Stegostoma tigrinum: one gene and its partner. The protein of the gene in region 1 interacts with the protein of each later gene in a pairwise test. Links are inferred from orthologs where the notes say so. Each region holds a gene or a part of one and is shown in the gene's direction. Other genes may lie near its edges.

Region 1 (8,034 bases):
TGATCTGCTGTGTTCATCCAGCTCTACACCTTGTTCCTTTGTGACCTGCATTTGTTAGTCACAAGAGTAGTGAAGGCAGTTGACTTTATTTGATCCCACATTGTTCTGATAGCGGAAAAAGTGGTCTACCAACTTATGATTTTTATCGTCTGAGTTTTAATATCTTGGATGTTTTGTTGAGACAATTTAAAATATATCTTTTAAATTGATAAAAAAAACTAACATGATGGCCACAGTAATTGTAAGACCTCTAGATGAGCCACATCATGAAATCACCAATCAACAAGACCCATTCTGAACTGAAATTAATAAGATTAGTCGCTCAGATCTGTATCTCCTGTTTGATTTATCCCATTCTGTAAGTTTCAACGTTAGGATGAACATCAATTATGGAGTATTCAGCTTGCAAACACCAATGAAAGCAGACACAGGAATACATAAAGGAATAATACTTAAGACAAATACCTTTGAGCATTGATTGAGAGAGGGTAAATGGATTCATAATAGACAATGACAATAGGTGCTGGAGTAGGCCATTCGGCCCTTCGAGCCAGCACCACCATTCATTATGATCATGGCTGATCATCCACAATCAGTATCCTGTTCCTGCCTTACCCCATAACCCTTGATTCCACTATCTTTAAGAGCTCTAGCCATCTCTTTCTTGAAACTATCCAGAGAGTTGGCCTCCACTGCCTTCTGGGGCAGAGCATTCCATATATCCACCACTCTCTGGGTGAAGAAGTTTCTCCTTAACTCTGTTCTGAATGGCCTATCTCTTATTTTTAAACTGTGTCCTCTGGTTCTGGACTCACCCATCGGTGGAAACATGCTTCCTGCCTCCAGAGTGTCCAATCCCTTAATAATCTTGTACGCCTCAATCAGATCCCCTCTCATCCTTCTAAACTCAAGTGTATAATAGCAGAACTGGAAGGCTTGCTTGCCTTTCTCCCTGTTTCACTCAGTGTCCCTTAAAATACAATGCCCAGTGTTAGAAGCAAATTGGAGAAATATATATTCACCAAGAACAGAAAGATATTCAGAAATTTCACTGCTGCTGAAATAAGAATCATCAACTTAATAACCGGGGTCGCACATTAAACCTAACTCCTTATAGACGTTTCAAACTGTATACACTTGAATTCCCTTCTTCTTACTAGATACTGTCTCTTTTGAAATGTTATATCTGTGTTTGCATGTGTGCTTGATGTCTCATTTTTATTTTTTTAAGGGTCAGTAATTAATAAAATCCTCCTTTCTTTCACCGAAGGAAACCCGTTGATTGACTCCTTACTTTTGACTAGTATTACATTTTAATTGAAATAAATGTGTGCTAAAAAGAATTTAAAATTTATTTTGCAGCCATACACTCATCCTTCCCTGGTCATAAATAATAATATAAATGCATAAAACTGCGGATGCTGGAAATCTAAAACAAAAACAGAGTCCTGGAGAAACACAGTAAATTTCTGCTAATGATGGAGTGCAGAGAAGTGACTACACTACACAGAGACAGACCACAGACATGGAGTGGGAGAGGCAAAGATAGAGAGAGAGAGAGATAGATACAGACAGAGACAGAAAGGGAGAGAGTGAGAGAAAGGGACAGGCAAACAAAGAGTTGAGCATAGAAATATCCAATGATAAGCCAGGAGGGAGATAAATGCTAAGTAGAGTGATAATGTAACGTATGGACAGTTGAAAATGTGTTGGCTATGTAGACAGAAATGCAGATAACGCGGGGGTAAAAGGGGAGGGTAGCCAACATGGAGTGTGATGACCACATTCTGAATTGTTAAACTCAATGTTCAGTCCTGAAAGCTACCAGGTACCGAGGCGAAAGATGTGTTGTTCTTCCAGCTTGTCTTGAGCTTTGCAGGAGCACTGCAGCAGGCCTAAGACAGAAAATTGCCATGGGAACATGGTGATATGATGAAGTGACAGAAAGCTGGAAGCTGGAGTCAATTTTATCAGCTGAGCATAGGTGTTTGACAAAGCAGTCACCCCAGGCTACTTTTTGTCTCACCAATGTTCACATAGTGAACAGCGAATACAGTACATTAGATTGGACGAAGTACAGGTAAATAGCTGCTTCACCTGGAAGGTGTGTCTGGGTCCTTGGTTAGTGAAGAGGGAATACATAGGCAGGTGTTACACCTTCTGCAAAGGCCTGAGAAGGCACCATGAGGGTGTGGACCTGGGTGTGCCGGAGAAAACAGTCCCCGTAGAATGCTGACATGGAAGGGGAATGTGTGTCTGCTGGTGCCATTCTGTTGGAAGTGGAGTAAATGATGGATTCTTTGGATACAGAGGCTGGTGGAGTGGAAAATGAGGATTGTTGTTGCAGGAGGGGACTGAGGGGTTACCTAATGCAGAAATGGAACAGACATGGCCAACGGCCCTGTCAACCATTGTGCCAGGATATTCTTGGTGGTGGAAAAAAGTGAACATTTCTGAGGGTCACTTGCAAATGGTAACATAATCAGAACAAATGCAATGAAGATGCAGAAACTGGGAGAATGGAATAGAGTACTCACAGGAAGTAGGGTGTGATGATATTTGGTCAAATTAACCTTGGGAGTCAGTAGATTTTTAATGGATATTGGTGGCCAGCTTATTCCTAGAAATAGAAACAGAGCTATCAAGAAAGGGATGGGAGGAGTCAGTGATGGACTGGGAAAAGGCAAAGGTGTGGTCATAACAATGTTTGTTTCGTTCTTGATAACAAGGTGTGGAGCTGGATGAACACAGCAGGCCAAGCAGCATCAGAGGAGCAGGAAAGCTGACGTTTCGGGCCTAGACCTTTCTGATGAAGGGTCTAGGCCCGAAACATCAGCTTTCCTGCTCTGAAGATGCTGCTTGGCCTGCTGTGTTCATCCAGCTCCACACTTTGTTATCCCGGATTCTCCAGCATCTGCAGTTCCCATTATCTTTGTTTTGTTCTCGTTGGGGTGAGGTTACACTGGACCTCCTTCAGTTGTTGTCATGTACTTATAAAATGTAAATGAGAGTCAGGAACTAATCTATACAGTAAAGCATTATTTAAAGTAAGTGTAGATCCACAGTGTTATTAAGGAGGGAGTTCTAGGATTTTGACCTAGTGATTCATTTCCATACCAGGATGATGAGTGGCTTGAAGGGGAACTCTCGTTATTCCCATCCCCAAATAATACCCAACCCCAGCTCCTCCCTCACTCAAATGACCCTCCCATTCTCCCCAGCTAATCCCCATTACCCAACCCATTTCTTCCCCAGAAGCTACGCCTCCCCGGGTTGTGCCCCTCAGCATTCCCTAAAAACACAGCCACTCTCCTAATAGCCTTTAAACACCTCGCACTTCCACCTCCCCATCCCCTCTCTCAACCTCACCCACTTTCTCCACCACCAGCCTCTCCCACCATCTCTCCTCCCCCAGCCTTTCCCACCTCTCTCTTCCACTACCCCTCCTCCACTCTCCAACCCACCTCACCCATGCTCTCTACCCTCAGCACCCCCCATCTTGGCCCCCACCTTGCCCCTACCATCTCTACTCCACCCTCTCACACTGTCTACACTCTCTGCCTCTCCACATGTACACCTCCAACCCTCTCTCCCTGTTTCCTCTTCCAATCCCAACGCCTGCCTTCAACTTCAGCCCCAACACCCTGTCTCCACATCCAATGCCTCCCCTAACTCCAAACCCAACCTTCTAACATTCCCCTCTCAACACCAGCCCCTCACCCTCATTCTGCCCTCAGCCGTTCCATCTTCTTCTCCTTCAGCCCCTTTTCTTGACGTAGCCCTGTCACTGTACCCCAGTAGCAATCCCTCCCCCACTCAGACCCACCATCTTATCCACCCGCCCCACAACCTCCACAACCGTTGCTCCGCCCCTTCAGACCTTGCACATACCACACCTTTTCATTGCCCCCATCTCTCCCCTACCTACATCCCCACTCCACAAACAGCCCCTCCCCTCACACCACCCACCCAAATTGACCCCGACCACATTCTTATTCCCTGCACAACACCTTCCCACATCCGCATCCATCCCTCCCCATTCCCACCCACTTATCCGCACCCTGGCCACACATCCAGACCTACCCCTCCACCACACATCCCATAGTCCTCACCAAGCCACACCCTCTCTCCCTGTCAAGCCCCATGCCTACCCAGCATGTCCCTGCCCTTTCTCCAAACCCCTCTCCAAATCCAGTCCCTCCCCTACACTCTTCAGACCTACCCATCTACCTGCCAAGCCCACTCATCTTGCCCCATCTCCTTCGCTCCATGCCACAACCACTTCCCAAGTTCAGCCTCACCCCTACCCTACTCAGCAACATTCCTTCACCACTCAGCCCCACCCCTACACCACAGCCCAACCATAAACCACTCAGCCCCACCTCTTCGCCATTCAGCCCCATTCCTGCAGCATCCAGCCCCACCCCTACACCAATCAGACCCCACACATTCACCCCTGTTTCCAGACCCTTTATCTGCTCTTGCCTCCTTTCCACGGCCCATCCCCTCGCCATACTAGCCACCCCATTCCTAGCCCCACCCTACCTTCAACCCCGCCCATCTCCCAGCAAGGCTCCCTGTCCTCTACCAGCCCCACCTGTTCCGCTCCCCTACTAGCCCAGCTCCACCCGTATGCCATTCCCACCCCTCGCCCTGAACCGATCCCCATCCAGCTCCGCCCCCTATTCTAGTCCCACCCCTCTCCCTGACACGCTCCACATCCAGCTCCGCCCCCTATTCTAGTCCCTCCCCTCACCCTGACACGCTCCACATCCAGCTCCGCCCCCTATTCTAGTCCCACCCCTCTCCCTGACACGCTCCACATCCAGCTCCGCCCCCTATTCTAGTCCCACCCCTCACCCAGACACGCTCCACATCCAGCTCCGCCCCCTATTCTAGTCCCACCCCTCATCCTGCCCCGCCCAGTATCGCAGCCCCGCCCAGTCTCCACCCTGTGCCCCTCCCCCTCTGCAGCTTCTCTCTGTTTGTGGATCGGCCATGACGGTGGAACAAAATGTCCTGCAGCAGCATTCACAGAAGGTAAACAAACAGGAAAGGAGAGGTTCCTTCCCACCTTGCCTTTTCCCCTCCCGCCTGTCCGCGGCCTTCTTGTCCACATGGACCTACGATGCCCCTGAATGTTCCTTTACTCGGGAGGGTCCGCCCGCCCGCGCCTGCATTCACCACCCCCCGTTCCCCAGACCGCTGCCGTTCGGTCACCGCCTGAGGAGCTTGTTGCCCCCGCTGCGCTGGCACGCGAGCCGCAGGCTTCTGGCCTAGCCTAGCAACAGCAACAATAATAATGCTACTGTAACGCCCAGGGTGTTAATGGAGCTGGCACCAGCCCCAGGTCGAGAGGCTCTTCCGAGATATTGCGCCTAGGCCAGCAAGGTTTTGAGTTTTAAATCAGGCTGAGAATGAAATTTGTAACTTGTTTATTTTTGCCTGGCGGTGAGGGCGGCAAGTTCAGTTCACTTTGGACGTAGTGTTAGGGTTTCACCTGAATTTTCCCTCCTTTGAGGCACAGCCCATAGTAGAGGACAATTGTAAAGCCTCACTAACAAAATCAGCCATTTATTTGTCTGTGTCCTCAGCCTCTAAGCTGCATTTTTCCCACCTGATCCTTTCCGCACTCTTCTTTTAAGGCACTCCTTAAAACCGTAAGCTTTTTGGTTGCCCCCTTCCTCAGTGTCAAATCTTGTCTAACAGTGCTCCTGTGGAGCACCTTGGCATATTAATCACGTTGTGTTTGCAAGTTGTAACAATTTCGTTCTGGCAGTGGAATGAAATTTTCTGAACTGCGTGATGCATTTTCACTCTTTTTGTTCTGAACCATGTTGTGTGTATGCGGTGCACTGTCTGAGGTACTTTCTCTCAAAATGATATGTCGAAGAGCCATACCTTCTGCTGTTTTCAGGTCATAAATCATACGACACCAGGTTATAGTTCAACAGGTTTATTTGAAAACACAAGCTTTCTGAGCCTCAGTCATTTAGTTGTTAATGAGAGGTAGTATCAGACAATTTATATGTAAAAGATCAACATTCCACACCATTGATGAGAATATCCTAAACAAATTTAAGATGCTGCTAAATCTTTAATCAGTTTTAAGGTTTTAATTAATATGGATATGTAAATCCACGAATTCCTTTCAAGCCACAGTCCTGAGAGAACTGAAGGTTTTACCAGAGTAAGGAAGAGTTGACATTTTAGGTTAGACAATGCAAGTTAGGTGTGTGACTTTGCTTAGAATCTGTTTGTGTTTTAGTTTGGAATCAGACTGGTTTTATTTCCAAAGTAGACATTTATATTAAAAAAAATTGTTGATAAGTTGTGTGTTTTTTGAACAAACTAAAATGTAGCTGTCAATACGTATTGACCCGATTGATTTGAGTGAGAGAAAGACAGTTTGAGAGAGTGATCAGAGATAATGGGAACTGCAGATGCTGGAGAATCCGAGATAACAAAGTGTGGAGCTGGATGAACACAGCAGGCCAAGCAGCATCTTAGGAGCACAAAAGCTGACGTTTCGGGCCTAGACCCTTCATCAGAAAAGACCCTTTTGTGATGAAGGGTCTAGGCCTGAAACATCAGCTTTTTTGCTCCTAAGATCTGCTTGGCCTGCTGTGTTCACCCAGCTCCACACTTTGTTATCTTAGTTTGAGAGAGAGAGTTGTGTGCATGTATATGTATACAAGAGTGTGTATTGTGGCGGGGGGGGGGGGGGGGGGGGCGTCACTTGTAGTGAGATGTGAACCCAAGATTCTGGTTGAGGCCATCCTCTTGGGTACCAGACATGGCTATTAGCCTCTGCTCAGTGTCTCTTCATTGTTGTGTATCCCAAAGTCCACTTGAAGATCCGAGGTCAAGCGTCCTTGCGTGTCGAAGTCTTCCCCCACTTGGAGGGAACATTCTTGTCTGGTGATTGTTGGGTGGTGTTCATTCATCTGTTGTTTCTCACACGCTCATTTTCTCAGTCTCCCCCCCCCCCCCCACCCTTCACTTACACACACACACACACACACACACACACACACACACTGAATTCCCCGCAACACACTCACATACGCACAAATCTACACAGACTTTGTCCATTCCAGTCCAACAGCGGCATTGCCACATCACTCTTTTCAGGTGGAAGTAGAATAAGCTGACCTCACTATATGAAAGAAGAATGGGGAACTTAACCTCTGGCATAGCCAAGATATTGATCACTGAAATTATAATACTATGTTCGTGATCAGATTGTGGTTTTGGGGCATTGCTTTGCACAAAATGACTGCCACTTTTCCCAGATTACAGTAGTGATTATGTTGCAAAAGTTCCTGTTTGTCTGTAAAGTGCTTTGAGATAATCGAAGATCAGGAAAGATGCGATATAAACTGAAGTTTTGAAGTTGTTTTTTTGATGCTTAATACATTATTGAGTTATTTACCTATTGAGTTTTGATGAATGATTATAATGTAAATATTGTGTATGCTTTTGTATATCTTACATATATTGTACTATGATATACTGTTGACATATTTTCTCTTTAAGTTATGATGTTGGCCTAGATTTAAAGGTCGACAGATGCATATTTTAAGATGCTCTTGTCTGTTGCTTATGATTTCTTATCAGACAAGGTATTGCAAATGTTTATTTTCTCATTTCCTTTCAATTCATGTTTAGAGAGCCCATCTGCTTGCATAGTGATAGGATTCATGAATTTTTATTTTAGGATTAATAGCTTGTTTCTATACAGAGCTTTCAGAGATCTTAGTTTATTGAAACTTTTGTATTGTCTTCCGTACAATTTTATTGGCCCGTTTTGTGCTGCTTTTGCTGTTCGTTCAACCAAAATTTTTCTTGCTAATGTCAATATTTTAAAACCCAACAGACCTGCAGAGTAAAATATTGAAGTAGTTGAAGCCATTTTGTGACAAGATCGATCAGTAGAGTGGAGTGTCATCCAAAATCCAGCTTTCAAAGCTGGTGAAGGACTGAGCAATAGAGAGTAGCCTAGGGATGTTATTCCAAAAGTAGAATTGAGAT
Region 2 (7,023 bases), on another chromosome or scaffold:
CAACAGGATGAAGAGGAGAGAAAGAAGAGAGAGGAGGAAGAGAAGGATAAGGAGGATGATGCTGAGGGGGATGAGGAGGATGAGGATGAAGAGAAGGAAGAAAAAGAGGAAGATGAGGAGGAGGAGGAAGAAGAAACAGAAACCGTTCAAAAGGATGAGTTATAAAGATTGTAATAAATGCTGAGAATGAATGGCAGCAGGGCAATGTGCAGAAAAGTTACACATAGCAACTGGGACCCCTTATTGGAATGTTTTTTGTTTATGAACAAATTGGCGGGGGGGGGGGGAAATGTCAGGCTTTTAGGGTTGGGGCAGTAAGTGAACATGAGAATATATCCACTGAGGAAGGGACTGCTGAAATTTCTAAACCTTCCTTATTAAAAATTTGGTAACTAGAAGTCAGCTTCATAATGGTGGGTAGGGAAGGATCAAACCTGAGTGGAACTTGGGCTGTTGTGTCTTGCATCTTGAACATGCCACATTTAATAATCCTAGAAATCATCTGAGCACGTTTATGCTGTTTTTCAACTGAGGTGTTAGCTTTTTTAAATTGGTCAACCCTTCAGTTTAAAATTTGGTAGAAGCCCAAATCTATTTGCTTGCTGCCAGTAATTTCCAAATTTTGGGTTCCAGTGCTGTTAGGTTAGCTTGTTTTGTGTCTTTGTCTAGGTAAACATGATACAACTGAACAGTGTACTTGAGCATGTTTGAGATTCTACAGTTGATGCCAGTTAACTTCCAGGCTGTACTGCTTTATAAGATCTCTCTTTTTGGTTTTTGAGAACCACTCAGTTCCCAGGTGTAACTAAAATCTGATGGGAATTAACATTGGGGATGGTATGATTTAAATTGACCAATTTCACTTCCATTTGAGGTGGGGGGGGGGGTGCGGGGTGCCCCTGTTTAACGGGCTTCAACTGTAGGTGTAATTGTATAGCTGCCTTTTCCATTCAGAACAATTGGGTAGAGCAGGACTGCACTGGTTATATAAATGGATGTTTATCGGCTCTTTCCAAATCCAGGGTCAACTTTGCCTTTGTATTTTGCATTCTTTATATGGGGGTTTCATGAAAAGGAGGGGGAAAAATTTCTTTATTTCCAACAACATTCAAAAGGAGACTTAAATTCTGTACAGACCAAGTCTAAAGTTGTCATTTTAATCTGTTATTTAAATGTTGTAAATTGGTGATTTAATTGATGACTGTTTGGGGAAAACTTGTTCTGTGTGCAATACAGAAGTATGTTTGATCACATTTCTACAATAAATACCAATGGAAGTGAAATAATTGTTTGTTCTTTCCTTTTCAGTTTGGAATAGTTCTTAGTCCTTTGAATTTCATGGACTTTTGGTATTGGGGGTGGTAAAGTGTGGATTCATTGGTTAATAAAGCTGGAATTGGACAAGCCATTTGGGTTGCCTGGCTGTAGCCAGTGAGATTAATGCAAGAATCAGTGTTGGATTTTAGCTAATTGTAATATCAATTAATACAGAGGGTCAGAGGATAATCCTAACAAAGACTGTTATAATATGCAGAAAATTAAATTGAGGAGAAACAAACTGCAAAGGGCTAAAGTCATCAAATGGGCATGGCAGATGTTAATTATGATAAGTTATCCAGTTTGGATTTGTGCATAAAGAAATTTTTTTCAAGGGTCAAGATCCTGAAAGCTTGCCGTTCAGAGGGACCTGGGTACCATTTTATTCATCAGAAATAGCATGCATGTAAAACAAATTGGCGACCTTTTTATTACAAAGCCTGATGCTGAATGGTCTAGTCCTGCTATGATGCTTTCCAACTGCTATGTTCTTGACTACAGAATAAGGTAATTGAACTCCATGAAGAGCGCTTTTGTCAGATGGCAATTCTTTCCATGTTGGTGGTTTTCTCTCCAATTGATTCTATTAGATATCCCTGTGAGTAACCAATTTCCACACCTCCTGAACTGACCTCTTAACTCATTAAAACAGAGTTTTGCAGCATAGAATGAATTTGTCTATCACCTCTTAATAGATAATTAACCCCTGCAATCCCACCATTTCTATTTTGGATAAATATTGAAAATTTTACTTCCATAATAAGCCACTAGATTCTGCTTCCACTTTCTGGTTGAGCATTTTTCAAGTTGTAATTTTTTTTTAAATTAAAAGCAAGCTCCTAAATTTAGAAGTAAGGATTATGTCCCCTAGTTATGTACTAGACTTGCACTTTGTTTGCTTTTCAAACTATGGAAAATGCATGAACTTCACTTTTTTTTTGGGAGTGAAGAGTGTAATTACTGGAAGTAGGTTTTGTACAAGACTTCAGACTGCACAAATAGCAGTCATTTGCTCCAGAAAAACCATTTGAGCCAGGAGAGATTTTTTTTTAACAGCAATCTTTTTTTCAAAGAAAAACCCTACAGGCTGAGGTGCTGGAGCATGGTTGCAGTGTTGTCAATCCCAGTTCAAGCCCTCTATGTAAAGCAGATCTCCTATACATGCAGAAATCATTGCTTTTGATCAGCTATGTCACATTTCAGTACTTGTCTATCACTTGACTTGATTTAAAAGGTAATTCTTTATTTTGACAATATTTCCTGAAGACACCTGTCTTTCATTTTGAGTTCACAATATTACAGGAGTCTCAAAAGTGAGAGTTGGACTCCCAAGTAGGTTTGTAAGTTGGAATTTAGGTTAAGCGCTATGACAGACTGTCCCCTTACTCTGTCCTTCTCCCCTGCCACATTCTTGACAGACGGACTGAAACAGTTTTGAGGCTTCAAAATGGAGCCACGGTGGGGATGAATTTGGGCAACATTTTCTAACACTTATGCAGTTTGCATTCAGATAATGCTGTCCTGCTCAGTAATCCAAAGAAAATTTTGTCGCAAGTCCCTGACGAAGTTTTCTACGCTTAAAGTCAGAAGTCATACAACACCCAGTTACAATCCAACAGGTCTATTTGAAATCACCAGTATTTGGAGCACTGATCCTTCATCAGGTGATTGCATTTGGAAGGTTTGTTACTTCAGATAAACCTGGTCCCATATGACTTCTGACATGTTTCAGTGAGTGGTGCTCATCAGAGCTATTAACCTGATTTTTTTTTTAAATGTGATGCAGTGGAGTGCTTTGAGCTGCTTAGAATGTGTTGAGGTGGTCCTACAGTGCATTTTGTTCATAATTCCAACCTTAGAAAGCTGCCATGATGGAGACATGGATAGTAGGAACTGCTGATGCTGGAGAATCTGAGACAACATGGATGAAGCTGGATGAACACAGCAGGCCAAGCAGCATCAGAGGAGCAGGAAAGTTGACATTTTGGGTCAAGGCCACCTGAAATGTCAACTTTCCTGCCCCTGTGATGCTGCTTGGCCTGTTGTGTTCATCCAGCTTCATATGGTGTTATCCATGACCAGAGATATATCCCAGATATTTTCTAATCAATATTACATTTGGAAAATGTGGGACTTGCACCTGGCCTGCTAACCTAGCAGCAGGAACTCTGATGCAAGATATGGTCACTGATGCATTTTATTAAATTTTAAATTCTGCCAGCTGCCTTGATTGTTGTCTTGATTTTCTTCTTAAAAAATATTTTTGAACCAATTTATAATCCCTGCAGATACAGCAACAGGAGAGTGAACCTTTTCCCCACACCCCCCCCCCCCCCCCCAAAACCCTATACCTGCCTCTGCAGTGCCTGGACTTCTGGATGATTTGTTTGTGACATTAGTACGCTGCTACTGCCTATCCTCAATATAAATGCAAGTTTCTTATTTCCATTATCGTTTGCACATTGAAACTTAATTGCACAGTTGTCAGGCATTGAGACAAGTAACGAGTCCGAGTTGGCACATCTTCCCTCCGACTTTAGTGGAAGGCCACACACCACGTGAGATAGCCCGGTCGCCATGGCAATGACGTTACGCCAGCGTAGCGTTTGCGTAAAGATGGCGGTGGTGGCTTGAAGCAGTGGGGCCTTGGTGGAATCTTCGAGCAAACCGCAGGTGGCGGAGGAGCGGGATTACTTGATTTTTTTTTTGTTTTAATCGCCTTTTTTAAAAAAACCCACCCGGCGGCGGTTCCACTTCCCTTCCACCTCCCCGGCGAGGGGAGGTAAGGGGGAAGGAGACCGTCACCATGTTCATCACCGTGAAAACGCTGCAGCAGCAAACGTTCAGAATCGAGATCGACCCCGAGCAGACGGTGAGGGAGGGAAGGGGGTTCAACACTGTACTCATTTACCCCCCCACCTCACAACCACCCTAACATCTCTCACATGCCTCCAGTCAACGACCCTCACCTCCCCATCAACAGCCCTCTCAAACCCTCACAATCCCTCGCCCAACTCCATTTACTTCAATACAAGAGGCCTGACAGGTAAGGGAGATGAACCCAGGGCTTGGTTGGGACCGGCATGTCATAGCCGCTGCAGAAACATGGTTCAAAGGTAAACAGGACTAGCAGCTTCATGTTCCAGGCTGTAGATGTTATCAGAAGGAGAAGTGTGGTTCTTTTGGATAGGGAGTTAATTGCTGGGAGATCGTCCAATGAGGTTATAGTGGGGAAGAATTTAAAATGAGAAAGGGATGATTATCTTGTTGGGATTGTTAATAGCGCCCCCGCCCCATAGTCAGTGGGAAGTTGAGAAGCAAATATGCACAGAGATCTCAGATAATCTATAAGCAAATAGTGTTGTATTGGTTAGGGATTTTAACTATCCAAACACAGACTGGGACTGTCGTAGTATTAAGGGTTTGGATGGAACAAATTTGTTAAGTGTGTACAAAAAAACTTTCTTATTCACCATGGATGTATCTATTAGAGAAGGAGCAATACTTGACCTTCAGTTGGGAAATAAGGGAGAGCAGGTGATAGAGGTGTCAGTGGGAGAGCACTTTGGGGCAAGTGGTCTCAATTCTGCTGGTTTTAAAATAGTTATGGAAAAGGATGGAACTGATTTTACAATTTAAATTTGTAAATCGGATTGAGGCCAATTTGGAAGGTATTACACAGGAACTTCCAAAAGTTGATTGGGGAAAGCTATTCACAGGTAAAGTGAAAACCAAAGAACTATGGATGCTGTAAATCAGGAACGAAAACAACGTTGCTGGAAAAGCTCAGCAGATCTGGCAGCAGTTCTGAGGAGGGACCACTGTCCCCAGATGCTGCTAGATCTGCTGTGTTTTTCCGGGAACTTTGTTTTCCTTCCAGGTAAAGTGAATTTGTTTGGGAAGTGGGAGGCCTTTTAAGCATGAAATAAAAGTATTGACTATGAATGACTAGTATTTTACTTCAGTACTTAATGTGAAGAAGGAAATGGAACTTGGAAATAAATGGAGGTGGCTTGGAAAAGGTTGATATGACAGAAATGACTATTATGAGGGGGCATAGTTTTAAGGTGATTGGAGGAAGGTACAGGGGAGATGTCATATGTGGTGGGCATGTGGAATGCACTTCTGGCAGTGGTAGTGGAGTCAGATACTTCAGAGACTTTTAAGTGACTCTTGGATAGGAACATGGAGGATAGCAAAATGTAGGGTTTGCAGGGTAGGTTGATCTTAGTGGGATAATAGGTCAGCACAACATCGTGGGCCAAAGGGCCTGTACTGTTCTCTGTTTTAGGAGGAAGTGCTGGAGATCTTAAAATACATAAATGTAGATAAATCCCCACGACCTGGTCAGCTGTTTCCCAGAACATTGTGGGAAGCTGGAATAAAATTGGTGGTCACCTTTGCTGAGATATTTGTATCATCAGTAGTTATGGGTGATCACGGAGGTTGGCTAATGTGGTGCTGTTATTTAAGAAAGGCCGTAAGCAAAGCCAGGGAACTAGAGACCAGTGAGCTTTGCATCAGTGGTAGGTAAGGTGCTGGAGGGGATTCTGAGGGACAGGATTTACATATATTTGGAAAGGCAGTGTGTGATTAGGGATAGTCAGCATAGCTTTATGTGTCTTACTAATTAGATTGAGTATTTTGAATAGGCGACAGACAAGGTTGATGCGGGCAAAGCAGTAGATGTCTGTGTGGACTTCACCAAAGTGTGCGACAAGGTTCTGCATGGTGAAGTTGTTAGTAACGTTGGATCACTCGGGATCCAGGGGGAGCTAGCCAATGGGATACAAAATTGACTTTAAAGTAGGAGACAGGGTGGTGGTTGAATATTGCTTTTTGGACTGGAGGCGAGTGACCGGTGGTGTGCTGCAGGGATCAGTGCTGATTCCTTGCTTTTTGTCATTTAATTAAATGACTTGGATTTGAATATAGGAGGTATGGTTAGTAAGTTTGTTGATGACACCAAAATAGGTGATGTAGCGAACATGAAGAAGATTATCTCAGAGTACAACAGGTCCGTGATCGGATATGCCATTGGGTCAAGAAATGGCAGATTAAGTTTATTTAAGATAAATGTGACATGTTGCATTTTGGTAAGGCAAACCAGAGCAGGACTTACACAGTTATAGTAGGGCCCTGAGGAGTGTTGCCCAATAAAGAAACCTAGGGGTGCAGGTGCATAGTTCCTTGAAAGTGCAGGTAGACTGGGTGATGAAGAAGCATTTGTCACCCTTGCCTTCATTAGTCATAACATTGAATATAGAGTTGGGATGTCATGTTGCAGCTGTACAGGATGTTGGTGAGGCCACGTTTGGAATATTGCATGCAATTCTGGTTGTCCTTCTATAGGATGGATGTTATTAAACTTGAGAGCGTGCAGAAAAGATTTACGAGGATGTTGTCAGGACTGGAGAGTTTGAGCTATAAGGAGAGACTGAATACATTGGGGCTTCTTTTCTCCTGGAGTGTTGGAGACTGAGCTTACAGAGGTTTATAAGATCATGAGCGTCATGGATTAGGGAGTCCAAAGCTAGACGACACAATTTTAAGGTGAGAGGGAAATGCTTTAAAAAGGACCTGCGATGTAACTTTTTCACACACGGGTGGTACGTGTTTGGAATGAAGTGGTGGAGGCTGCTATGATTACAACATTTAAAAGGCATCTGGATGGGTATATGAATAGTAAGGTTTTAGAGGGGTATG

Evidence for each region.
Region 2: the proteins of usp25 (region 1) and UV excision repair protein RAD23 homolog A-like interact in binary tests that used the Homo sapiens proteins (3 or more experiments, as listed by UniProt). The link is inferred for Stegostoma tigrinum from reciprocal best matches to the Homo sapiens genes USP25 and RAD23A.

What each region holds. Positions count from the first base shown.
Region 1 is NC_081365.1:8,220,409-8,228,442, forward strand, and holds the start of usp25 (ubiquitin carboxyl-terminal hydrolase 25), read left to right. Parts: upstream 1-4,945; 5' UTR 4,946-4,998; coding exon 4,999-5,040; intron 5,041-8,034. UniProt on the Homo sapiens protein: Deubiquitinating enzyme that hydrolyzes ubiquitin moieties conjugated to substrates and thus, functions in various biological processes including inflammation and immune response.
Region 2 is NC_081388.1:16,541,070-16,548,092, reverse strand, and holds the start of UV excision repair protein RAD23 homolog A-like, read left to right. Parts: upstream 1-3,918; 5' UTR 3,919-4,123; coding exon 4,124-4,189; intron 4,190-7,023. Other genes in the region: calreticulin-like, read left to right, coding at 1-165. UniProt on the Homo sapiens protein: Multiubiquitin chain receptor involved in modulation of proteasomal degradation. Binds to 'Lys-48'-linked polyubiquitin chains in a length-dependent manner and with a lower affinity to 'Lys-63'-linked polyubiquitin chains.